Linked DNA regions of Drosophila melanogaster. The protein of the gene in region 2 interacts with the protein of the main gene of each other region in a pairwise test. Each region holds a gene or a part of one and is shown on either strand. Other genes may lie near its edges.

Region 1 (4,909 bases), on a different chromosome or scaffold from region 2:
TCGCACCACTCGCTGGGTGTCGAGGACGCACAACTCCGGCGTTTGTAATCAGGGTCGTCAACGCGAAACTATAGTTATAATACGTAGATAGAACAAAAGGAACGTACCCTCCACTGGCATTTCCAAGGAAACTTTGCTCGTAAAAGCCGGAATAACAGTTAGCATTCATGCCGCCCTTTAAGTTTTGTGGCATTTAGTCAGGTGCCCAAAGACGGGGGAATCGGAATTTGGATACCGGCAGTGGAGTGCCGACAGCCGTTTGACAGTAAAACTCTGGCCTTGGGCGCATCTATTAAAATTTATATGCAACCGAAACTGGAACTGGACGCCAAACGGACAAGATACACACTGTGCGAAAATGTGACAGCCTCCCATAACCCGCAATGTAACTAAATATTCACTTAACTACTATTAAGTGGGATAGAAGGCAAATGAAATGACTAATCCATATGCACAGCGGAAATTATTATATTTTAGTATTTGCAATTTAAGATGTAGTACTAAATACTGAAGCATCGTTCTTAACACTTTTCGAAACTATAATCTTTCTCATGTAGCGAAGATACCTCTTTACCTGTGATGCTGATATCAGCTTGAGTGGAAAGTGAAAACATTTTTTCTCAGTGCCTTTTAGTTGAAGCACTTTCCGCGGACGGCGGTGTTGACAAACTGCTCGCAGAGTTTTTGGCTTTCGCTTGGCTTTGGCGACTTGGCGCCTCGTCCTTGGCATGAAGTTCGCCGCTGGCCTTTAATTAGCTTTTCTCGGATTACTCATACGCCATGGGGGCTGGGCTCGGGTCGAGTGGAGTGGAGTGGAGCTGGGCTCCATTGTTTCAGCACTGGCATGCGGATGTGGTTGGTCAAACGTGCATGTCGGGCACGTGTTTTGCTTTGGCTTGAAATTGGTGGTTGGGTTCGGATCGCATCGGATGGGGTTAAAGTTAAAGCGAGCGTTCTTAATGTCAGGGTCAATGCAGAATACGGGGGTCCTGCATGTGTGGAATCGACGGCCATCTTACTCGTCCCAATATTGGCGGCATGCATATAATACCCACTGACGGTGCATAAATCAAAATATATACAAAAAAAAAAATACAAGCGGGCAAAACAATGTGTGTGTTTTGTTGCTCGAGAGATACAATACAATATTTATTCAAAAGCAATTGGCCGGGCGCTTCTGTCGCCGACAGCTGCACAAAACTCGGGGGACACTTTTGACACACACACGTGGCCAGGGCGACCTTATAGTACATAATGAGTTTGCTGGGTATGCAGAGGAGCAAAGTGGCCTTGCCACTGGCAATTAGAGTTATTTTCACTAGCAATAGGGGACATGTCGGTGCTGCAACGTGCCCGCAAAATGGACAAAAACATGTGCATGAATAATACAGGTGAATGTTATGGACATTTGCCACCATTGGGGCTCGTGAAATGGTCGACTAAATCAAATATATTATAATTTGTGGGTACCAAAGGTATAAGCTTGAGGTACTAGCCAAACAATTTCTAAAAACTAATATTTTGCATTTTTAAATCTTAACTAAAATATAGTGAAATTTGATTATCCTCTTTTCTTATAGACCTCAACTAGGCGACTGTATACTTAGTGATTAAGTAAATACTTAGGTTTTTGGGCAATTCAACTTATTATATAGTTGATGGTTATCGTTAATCGAAATTTCAATACAATGCAATTTCCCGCCAAATAAAAGTGTGACCATTAGTTTATATTAAACGAAATTCCTAACATTCTTTTGCGCGCTTTGGTATTTTGCACCAATGCATTGAGTCCATCAGCTGTTTATTTAATTTCAAAACTGAATCTATAACGAAGTAAATAATTGAAAATGAGCACTTTTAAGCCAAAGTTCCTAAAACCCGAGACGGACGATGCAATCACAGATAGTGCCGGTGGTGAACAGCAGTCCTCCGCCTTTGTATTCAATGTCAATCACAATATGGGACTCATGGAGCAGGTGGGCTTACAAAATATTTCGTAAACATTTGCTAGAATAACAAATTAAACTTAAATTATTACAGAGGGAACGTTTGCCCATTCGTCAGTACCGGGATCAAATACTTTACTGCTTGGAAAAGCATCAAGTGGTCATACTAGTGGGTGAAACAGGCAGGTTTGTATGGAATTCCATGAGCTTCAAAGTAATGCTTCTAACTCTGTGGTTTTTCATATTTCCCAGTGGCAAGAGCACCCAGGTGCCACAGTATTTGTATGAATGGGGCTGGCACACCAAGGGACTCATTGGCATCACCGAACCACGACGCGTTTCCACCGTAAGTAATCCTAAAGCAAAGCAACTATAAAATCTAAAACTAAAGACTTCATTTCCAGGTTACGCTGGCTAATCGCGTGGCACAGGAACGCGGCGAACTGGTAGGTGACACGGTGGGCTATGTAGTTCGCTTCCTGGAAAGCATGAGCTCCTGTACCAAAATCAAGTTCATGACCGAGGGCATCTTGCTGAGGGAAGTCCTAGCCGATCCGCTGCTCACCCAATATGGTGTTATCATCGTGGACGAGGCGCACGAGCGGAATATGCTCACCGACATGATTTTGGGACTGCTCAAGAAGATCCTTCGCAAACGCAGCTCGCTCAAGCTCATCATTTCATCGGCCACCATAGATGCAAGCTTCTTCAGCGAGTTCTTCAGCTGGCCAGGATCGGGCGAAGTGAGCGTTAAGCTAAGCATTGAAGGTCGCATGCATCCTGTGAGTAATTTCTATCTGAACGAACCCTGCGCCGATTATGTGAAGGAAACTGTGGAGACCGTCTGGAAACTGCATCAAAAGGAGCCGCCTGGCGACATTTTGGCCTTCCTAACTGGCCAGGAGGAAGTCCTGGAGGCGCTGGATCTTCTGCGCGAATACATCGCCAGTTCGGAACAGGAGAATCTCAAGGTGCTGCCCATGTATGGTAGTATGTCGAGCACTGATCAGTTGTCGGTATTCTTTACCCCGCCCAAAGGAACCCGCAAAGTGGTGCTGGCCACGAATATAGCAGAGACCTCCATCACCATTCCGGGCATTGTTTATGTGATAGACTGCGGCTACGTCAAGGTAAAATGGTACAATCCCAAAACCTGCAGTGACAGTTTGGTTATAGTGCCCGTCAGCAAGGCGTCGGCCATCCAGAGAGCAGGACGAGCGGGTCGTATGCGTCCCGGCAAGGTCTATCGTTTGTACACTAAATCAGACTATGAAGCACTAGCTCCTCGGCAGCCACCCGAAATGCGACGCAGCGAATTGAGCGGCGCTATCTTGCAGTTAAAGGCGCTGGGCATCGGGAACATATTGCGCTTTGATTTCCCATCGCCACCACCGGCACAGAATCTACTTTCCGCACTGGAGAGTCTATTTGCCTTGGACGCCATCGATGAGCAGGGCAATCTGACGAAGCCCGTGGGTTACCTGTTGGCCGAACTCCCCTTCAGCGCTATGCTCTCCAAAATGCTCTATGTTTCCGGTCAGATGGGCTGCTCCGAGGAGATCATAACCATCATTGCGTTGCTGCAGGTGCAGTCTATATTTTCGCGCCCAGCTTCAGCGGTTGCCCAACAAAGTGGACGCATTGCACATCGAAAATTCGAAGTTGCGGAAGGGGACTTTATTACGATGTTGAACGCTTACACTGGCTTCGTGGAGGAGGGCATGACCAAGGAGTTCTGTGGCCAATACTTCCTCATCTACAGGAATCTTAAGAGGGCCCACTCGCTGAGGGAGCAACTCATCACAGTGGCCAGAAAGAAGTACGGCATTCCAATCTTCTCGTGCAAGGGCGATGTGGAAAAGTTGTGCAAGTGCATCACCGCCGGCTTCTTCACACAGGTGGCCTATCTGCATCACTCTGGAGTTTATAGACAAATCAGCAGCGGCACTGAACTGGCCATTCATCCGAACTCCACTCTCTACACACTTCCTCAAGCTCAGTACGTGGTCTATGGGGAACTGCTCCAAACGACGAAATTGTTCATGAACTACGTGACCGTAATCAAGAGAGAGTGGCTGACGGAGCTGGCGCCGCATTATTACCAACAGACCACAGTGCGGGATTAGCAGGAACTAAAGCCTTAATGATAGGTGTAAGTCTATTAAAATAGTTCATTAAATCAAATAACTAAGTTTATTGTAAAATTATAGGTGAAACGATGCCGCCTCTTGAAAAAGAACTTAAGCTTAGGTAATGGATTCCATATGATGATTCCTATTGTGTGTTTAACCAGCGGCGACGCGCCCTCGTCCCTGAAACATCATCATAGACTCGGGTCCACGGATGACACGCGACATCAGCTCCCAGCACATTTTGGCGGGCAAAAGACTGAGAAAACCAGCATTAATTACATTGTATATAACTATGTTAAATAGACTACTTACCATTTGAGAGGAGTGAGCAGGCGAATAGAGTTGGGCAGCACGCACCACACCTCGTTGCAGCGCACGGCGTTCTCGATGCGATCCGCCACATACTGCGGCTCCAGCATGGGCATCATCCGCGGCCGAACACCCGAAAACATGCCCGTGTTGATGTAGTACGGGCAGATCAAACTCATTTGGATTTGATCATAGCCATGGGCCTTCAGATCGGTGAGCAAACTCTCGTGGAAACCGATGCAGGCGTATTTGGTGGCCGCGTAGTCACTGCATCCGTAGGTGCCCAGCATTCCAGTTACCGAGCCCACAGTAACGATATGACCACGATTATTGCGCATCATGTGAGGCAGAAACGCTTTCACGGTCCAGTAGTGCGATATGATGTTAATGTTGTACGTGTTCTGGATGACCCGATCGTGCAGCTCCCAGAAGGGTTTGCAGCACACGATACCGGCATTGTTAATCAATATGTCGACGGGACCAACCTCCTCGGTCACCTGGCTGGCACGCTGGTAGATCTGC
Region 2 (7,860 bases):
GCATAGTTTACACTGTTAGTATAGTCATGTATCCCAGTAAAGTAAGAAAATTATAACACGCTTTCAACTCAAGTTGAATATGAGCTTTAGGAAAAGAAATTGAATAGTCAAATTTAATCGTAATATTGCACAGTCATAAAGAAGGTACTCGAGTCTTAGTTACTGACATTTAAGGTCTAGGAATTTTGTATCGCTAAAAATGGTAATATTCAACTCAAGTCGAAAATCATACATATTAAAAATCTTTTAAGAGTAAATCATTAAGGTTTCAAGTGTTGGATGCGCACCGACAATGATGTTTTCTTCGTCCAAGCCAGAACTCAGTTTGACAACTAGAGCAACGCGAAACTGCATGGTCTGGCACCCAGAGGACACTGGAGGCTTTTTTCTCTTGAATCGAGGAAGGGGCATACGAGGCGGGACCACTACGTTCTTCGACGGCCTCCCAGGAACATGTTGAAGCATTTTCAACGATATCCGATCCATTTTCCTAGAGAAGAGTTAAATAATTAGACGACTGACAGTTAATGCACATTGTAACTTATGATTAGATGGCAGAGTATTGCCCCTGATTGAAACACCACCACCACTTCGCGCTCTGGTGATTTAAGGATGAAACAAATTCATATTTTACAGAATATGCACTGTGAGAATCCAAAGACCAAGGCCCATGTTTTAAACAAATTGGGCAGTCACTTTGCACCGAGGGTCTATAACTAACATTAACCACGCTTTTCAAGAATATATGCACGCATTTTGTATCTTAAACGATCATTATTTACATGTTCCATATTTGTCGAAACGATGCTGTTGCAGCTGGGGCAACCTTTTTCCAACAGAGCCAGTCGCATACCGTGTATTTCTCGCAGTAGCATTTCCTCACGTAGCTGAAATAGTGTATGTGATTAAAATGACTATAATGAAAACTGCTTTTGCACCGGAGCTCACCTTGTGTTCTTGTACGATTTGGTGGAGTCTTATGTTTTGTTCGCTGAGTCCGTGAGCCAGGCCATCTGGACAGGATATAGTGAACTGAGCCCTCTCCTGAAATGGTGTTGGGGGCAACGAAATGATCCCCGACGACGGAAATTGGTGTGCGCTGAAAGTAGAGTTTTTTTTTTTTTTGATTCAGTCCAATGGGAGATGCCACCAGTGAGAAAGTACACACAACTCACCTGCCATTTTCAGCCGTGAACTTCATATCGCGACTGTAGCTCGAGCCGAAGGTATTTCGCCGTATTCGTCCGCCCGTCGAGGGAGCATCGAATGGCGACTGGCCCACGAACCGCTGAAGGTCGGGTGATATAAAGAGACTTTCCTCGCCGTTGTAGCCATCGGATGCCAGCAGGGATCCGTTGGCATTGGCATTCGCATTTGCATCTTTGGCTAACTTTTCCGGCTTGCAACGGTCCGGATTTCCCGTCGTCTCCCTTGGCACTTGTAGGTCCAGGTGATGGGGAAAAGCGTCTACCCGCTGCGGGCATATAACGGCATTCGGTCTTATGTGTACCTTGGGCAAATTATTGTAGCTCTGACTGATTTTACTGGCTTGGACAGTGCTAGTCGACTCCAGCTTTCTATCACCACTGACCAGTTCCATTGTGGGGGATGTTATGTGATCTCTACTGCTATTGTCGCTGTTTGGTTTTTGTACGGGCTCCGCAGGAATAAGGGTATCAGTGCTGGTTTCAATTGCGCCATGCCACAGGGCGCGAGAAATATCACTTGTGTCTTCAGATTTTAAAGGAACTGGACTTTGATCTGAAATCATTAAGATAGTTAATGTAACGTATTCATTCTATTCTTCATTCTAACATCTCTTACCGTTTTCGGATGAACCAAATATGAAAAAAGGTCGCCCAGATTCAGAGTTCAGTTTCTGTGAGGTCGCCAAGGATTCTTCAGATTCCGAAGGAACTGCATTTTTATCTAAAACCATTAAGGTAGTTAAGTTTAGTTAAGTTCTTTTGCTTTATCCTAACATCTTTTACCGTTTTCGGATGAGCCAAAAATGAAGACAGACCCAGGGATCAGCTGTGAGGACTCCAAGGAACTTCGCCTTTGCGTTTGTGATTCCACTTCCAATATATCACGTTTAGAAGCTGTACTTTGGTCGTTATGGAAATCTGGAATGGGATTATTTGAACGGCCACATGGACCTACTTCAGTTGCATCCGTCACGTCCAGCTCTACTTCTTTGGAGTCTTTAACACTTTCTTGGACATTTTCGCTAACACTGTTGTTGGCCTCGGATCGTATGTCAAACATCGAGTTGCTATTGGCATTGAAACAATCTGTAACACTGAATCGTAGGGAAAAGAACGAAATTCATTTTGCTGCCGGATCAAATAATCTTCAGTTGACCTACATGGATTCAACGGTCAGGTTGGGATCACTGGACCTCCTGGAAATGGTGCTCTGTCCCAACTCATTCGTTGTTAAGTCTTCAGAAGATCGTGTCTTCGCCATGAGGCCTATTGGTTGTGGCAGTAAGGAGTAAAAAGTGAGTCAATTTCAATTAGGAGTACTCTACTCAACTCACCATTGTGTCCGCTCTGTCTTTCATTACTTAGTAATGGTAGATCAGTTCCATTTTTGTTGCCTAAACTACCAAGGTATACATCAGACCAAAAATATAAAAACCGCACACTGTGCGCTGGCCAAAGAACCTAAAAAAAAAAACACAAAAATCATTAGCATTCTCCTTTAGGCTGACAGCATATATCAAGTTATTAACCACCTTTTCAGTCTCATGCTTATAGAGAGGATTTCTATACATAGTTTCCGCTAAAAATGGCCACACGGAAAACGTTCGGTCGAAAACTGAATTCTCGATGCGTTCTCTGAGCGAATTACATAGGAACGTGCCGAAGAGACAGGACAACGAATGTTGCGCCAGTTTGATCTAAAAAGAATGCATATAACAAGGAGTTAATGTGCACAACTCCGTGCGAAATTCCATGCCACCACTTACCAAATAGCTTATACTAAACTCAAAACTGCATGGATACTGCCTGTGTATTTGATGCACAAGATCAAGCCACTGCAGAAAAACTGGACATCGCTCGTTAACTTCATCGGAATTGGGACCATTTCCAGAGCGATCGGCGAATTTGTGTCCAAAGTTCAGCCATTCACGCTCGACAAGAACGCGGAACCCCTGCAAATACAAGCAAGTAGGTAGAGTATTAGTCCATAGAACACAAATGTTGATGTATATCAACGTACCTCAACCGTTCTGTAGTAGGGATCCAAACATAATTGCGCCGTGGCCACGATCTGTGGAGTGCGATCCCAACCGTCTGAGCAATGTACAAGGACGGGTCGTCCATTCTTCTCGATGGTGTGCACAACGGTCATGGTGGCTCCCAGCAGACCCGACAGGTGCTGCATCCACATGGTCTTTTCCAGTTGTCCGTACCAGCTGCAAGAATATGATTCCATTACATAAATATATATATATCTTTAATAATCAGCTAGTAAACTTACTTTGGATCATCGGGGGATGACGCGCATAGCTGTCGGACAGCGTGGAAACTCTTTCGAATGGCGTGGATGTTGCCCAAGTTCATAAACTCAATCTCTGCACAGGGATAGTACTCGATGCACTCACAGCCGCCACCTCTGGCACGATTTGTAACTGCGGAGGTGTAGCTGCGAGCATCCACAATGAGGATTTTCTGAAAGCAAATACAATTTAAGAGCAATGATCAAATTATTTCATTAGCACTTGGCGGTTTTGACATCATTTTACTGCTCCGTGTTAAGTAATTTATGATAATTATTCATGAATGTTTTCTTATATGGTAACTGAAACCTTCATTTCAAGAATACCCGGCTATTTTGGTAATAAACTTACCTTGATTTCATCCAGCGTGAGTTCCTCATGCGAGGAATCGTCCAGAGATGGTGAACTCTTGCCGGATAAGCCCGACTGGCCGTTGGTCTCCTTGGAGCCCTTTGTTGGTTGCGCCTTTGCATTGGCGCAGGTGGAATGCCTGGCGTGCTCGCCCCTGTCAAAGGCACAGGCATCGGCGAGTGCCTTGAGTAGCTGCTCGTCCCTTGTGTTGCGCCAGCCGAGCCAACCGACCTCCGGCTGGCTGCATCGGGCCAAGATGGCACCCGACTTTTGGTGCCGCCAGACGACAGCCGGCAGCCTTCGTGATCCCCGGAAGTTGGCCACGTTGTGGAGCATCTCATCGGTGATACAGCAGGGCACAAGCAATTTGGGTGGATACGAGGGACAGAGCTTAAAATCGGCATTGGCCGTGGAGATGCGCCACGAGCCCTTCAGATCGAATCCCAAGCGGGCAACCTCGTTCTTAAAGTCGCTTTCATAGCGCACTGATCGTTGCAGGCGATTGCTCATGGCGGCTGAGATGGTCTCGCTGGCAGGATCGGGCAGAGGATTCGACGCTGTGACGTTGGCTGTTGGCTTTGCCAAGCCATTGTGTAGCGTTAGGCAACGATCCTTGGCAATCAGGCCGTTTCCGTTGGCCTGGGCGCTAACGATACCGCTTCCATTGCCACTTCCGAGCACATCGCAGGTCCAGGAGTAGAAGGGAAAGGCGAAGAGTGTCTCCAGTGACTCGGGAACCCCGATCATCAGATGGATCCGGCGCTGCCAGTCGGAGCACTGTTCCGCCGACGGAAAGGAGCAGCGCACAGTGCTGGCATCCTTACAATTGACAATCAGCTGGAACAGATCTCGCACCTGTACGGATTCGATTAATCCCAATGGAACGTAGGTCTCGTAGCCGGTTGACTGCTTGGAAAGGAATATCCGATAATTGGACAGGGCGAGGATACCATCATCCGTGCGCCCCAGGTACTTAATCGATTCGCCGGCCACTAGTGGTATATATACTATAGATTAGCATGTGTTATCGGTTACAGCATATGGGGGAACACCTACACTCTTGAAACGGGACGAACAGCTGGGAGTCTTCCTTCTCCATTTGTGACTTTGGATACGATTCGGCGGCACGGATAAAGCAAATCGATGGAGGCGGTGATCCATCGGACATTGTGTGAATCGGCTAAAAGAATACTTAACATGTAACGTATTCGAAATTACTTATTTGCTTATATTTAGGCAAGGCGATTTGGGTGTCATTGGAAATCCGGTTATCGCTTATAAGTGCATATATCTCTTATATCCACCATCCGAATACATAATTACGCACAACAGTGTGTGTGCGATGTTATTGGGACGATTCGATACGTATAGTATAGTGGCTCCCATAAATAAATAAATAATACTATGCACATATGTGCATGTGCATTAAGCAGTGCACAAACAAAGCCAAATAAATGTCACTGGGATGATAAATTGGGCACAATCAACACTTTTAGAACAAATCGAAGTTAATATTTGAGTTTTTGAGTGTCGTGGTGGCAATATAGATAATGCACTGCATATATATGCACGTATGGATGTACAATGTACAATGAACATACATTTATGTGAGCACACACAGTTGCAGTTCCACAAGGTGCGCAATATATAGTATGCACATATTTGTGTGTCGCTGCATTACATACGCACGCACATATATACCAATAGACTAGATTATCACGATTTCATAGCCAATAGGCGAAAAATGGCCGATTATCGTACTCAACGTATTCTAATGGCCGTGTATGTTGTCATAAACAAAGTAATTAAACATTTACGCATGTGTATGTTTGCATAAACTCATATGTATATTTGTCTATGTAGGTATGTTTGTGTTTCGATATTTCGGGGAGCAACAATAACACATTACAATCGTACATATGTATGCACACACATTTGGTTTTTGGATTCCACAAACCGTTCGCTCAGCAGACTTTTCGGGGTATTTAGCTCAAAACGTATTGCCGAATTGAAAACGCGCTTGGCTTCTAGATTTTCTCGCTCTATTTACCACCATAAAATCCATAAGCGTCAGCTATTATAAACAAAGATTTGCAAATGTTGTTGCACATACATATGTATGCATATGTATTCATTTAGACACTTTTTGTTTCATTTCCATTGAAATTGCTATCGTTGTTTGCTGCTATCGCTGTTATCGCTGCTGTTAGCGATGGCCAAGTCATGTGACTAAGCTATCGTTACTCGATTGCCGATGAGATGTGCATTCGAGACTAACCAACACTGGCCAGCCGATAAAATCAACCAAAAATTTGTAAAACTTAATAATTGTGCGTACGTTTGCATTCCATTCCAGCTGATGTGTAACTGAAATCAGAAAAAAAGAGAACCGATCGCTTGGACTCTCCGCCGGTGCACGCAATTCTACGCCCACTCCTCGCCAGCCGCATTCGCCATTCGGAAGCCGAACAAGAATGTTTGGAGCCAGAATCGGAATCGGAAAGCTTGGGCCGTGTGTGGCCCTAGTTGCGGTGAGTCGACGTGTTCCGTTCTGTCTGGTCATGTTGCTGGTCACTGGAGTGGCTCACCCGCTCGATCAGCGGGCGGGGAAACAGTGGGGAGGGGCCGGCCAGACAGCCCCGGCTTTTTTTTGGCTCCCCCTAACCAAATAACTAACTAACCAGAACTGACATCCTATGGAATTTACAGATTCTACAGCTACTCCAGTACACACAGCCGGCCGATGCCGCCGGAGCCGTGCCCATGACCAGTGATAATATCGATATGACCCTAGGTGAGATATGCCCATACCATAACCATCACAGTCATCCCCATGCCATTCCCGCTGCCAGCGTGAGCGGGAATCAATTAGCCGACTTGTCCCATTGACGTGTCACTAAACAAAATCACTGGCTCGCTCAATTCGGCACTGCCAACGTGGTAAAATAAGTTTTATGCGCTTTCGTAAAGGACAAGGTGTGGAATTTGGATAAAACTTAATTAGGGCGGTTTATATTTCATGCTGCATCGGTCCGATAGTCCGCCAAAATGGGCACTAGCCATTGGTCGGCAGTTCTTTGCTCAGAATGTCCGAAGTTTGGTCTTTGCATGAATAGGTCCTTTTTATACGGTGTGTCCTGTACACAATCCTGCGGTAATACTATATTGTTTTTTTAAAGTTATTTTTTTTTATTATCCAAACGTTAACTTTTACAGTAAAGCCTGGCCTTAGGCTTGCACCCCTTAAATTTTAACTTTCGGAAGTTATGGAATAGTAGGATGCTAGAAATTTCTTGACTTTAATATGTATATTCAGCGACAAATTTAAATATATTCCATAAAAATACATATGCATTTAAATTATTAATACATAAACCCGTAATTCAATATTGATATAAATATATTACCAAATATATGTTTTTAAAAGTTATTATATTTAGTATCTGAACGGAGTTGTATTCTACGCATCAACAATTTTACACACAATTTGGTGCCTACATTAAAAACACGTTTTGTTTTCTTGCAGCGTCTAATGAATTGGTTTTCCTTAATTTTTATGCGGAGTGGTGTCGGTTTAGTAATATTTTAGCACCTATATTCGCGGAAGCTGCAGATAAGGTGAGTCAAATGGATCGCCAGTAAAAGCTTACAAACAATGCGATACATTCATATACATTTTATATCGAATAAATACGTGGCATTCAATCGAATTTCTCTTACAGATTAAAGAGGAGTTTCCAGAGGCTGGAAAAGTGGTGCTAGGCAAGGTCGATTGCGACAAGGAAACGGCCATCGCGTCCCGTTTCCACATAAACAAGTATCCAACATTGAAAATTGTACGCAATGGGCAGCTCAGCAAGCGCGAATACCGAGGACAGCGTTCAGCCGAAGCGTTCCTCGAGTTCGTCAAGAAGCAGCTGGAGGATCCCATTCAGGAGTTCAAATCCCTGAAGGATCTGGAGAACCTGGACTCGAAGAAGCGCCTCATTCTGGGCTACTTC

The links.
Region 1: the proteins of CG3632 (region 2) and CG3225 interact in a two-hybrid assay, tested with the Drosophila melanogaster proteins (one large-scale study listed by BioGRID).

The regions. Positions count from the first base shown.
Region 1 is NT_033779.5:4,815,105-4,820,013, reverse strand, and holds CG3225 (uncharacterized protein), read left to right. Parts: upstream 1-1,768; 5' UTR 1,769-1,847; coding exon 1,848-1,976; intron 1,977-2,040; coding exon 2,041-2,132; exon of another isoform or gene 2,133-2,198; coding exon 2,199-2,292; intron 2,293-2,350; coding exon 2,351-4,072; 3' UTR 4,073-4,098; intron 4,099-4,122; exon of another isoform or gene 4,123-4,156; 3' UTR 4,157-4,231; coding exon of another isoform or gene 4,232-4,334; 3' UTR 4,335-4,390; downstream 4,391-4,909. Other genes in the region: CG15629 (uncharacterized protein), read right to left, coding at 4,232-4,334, 4,391-4,909.
Region 2 is NC_004354.4:16,294,840-16,302,699, reverse strand, and holds the start of CG3632 (uncharacterized protein), read right to left. Parts: upstream 6,030-7,860; 5' UTR 5,925-6,029; coding exon 5,910-5,924; exon of another isoform or gene 5,793-5,909; intron 5,618-5,792; exon of another isoform or gene 5,461-5,617; intron 5,059-5,460; exon of another isoform or gene 5,040-5,058; coding exon 4,916-5,039; intron 4,852-4,915; coding exon 3,860-4,851; intron 3,681-3,859; coding exon 3,490-3,680; intron 3,425-3,489; coding exon 3,229-3,424; intron 3,161-3,228; coding exon 2,975-3,160; intron 2,906-2,974; coding exon 2,741-2,905; intron 2,670-2,740; coding exon 2,543-2,669; intron 2,475-2,542; coding exon 2,369-2,474; intron 2,303-2,368; coding exon 1,992-2,302; intron 1,930-1,991; coding exon 1,825-1,929; intron 1,762-1,824; coding exon 1,176-1,761; intron 1,100-1,175; coding exon 949-1,099; intron 888-948; coding exon 783-887; intron 491-782; coding exon 288-490; intron 1-287. Other genes in the region: ERp44 (endoplasmic reticulum protein 44), read left to right, coding at 6,334-6,390, 6,569-6,653, 7,386-7,477, 7,582-7,860.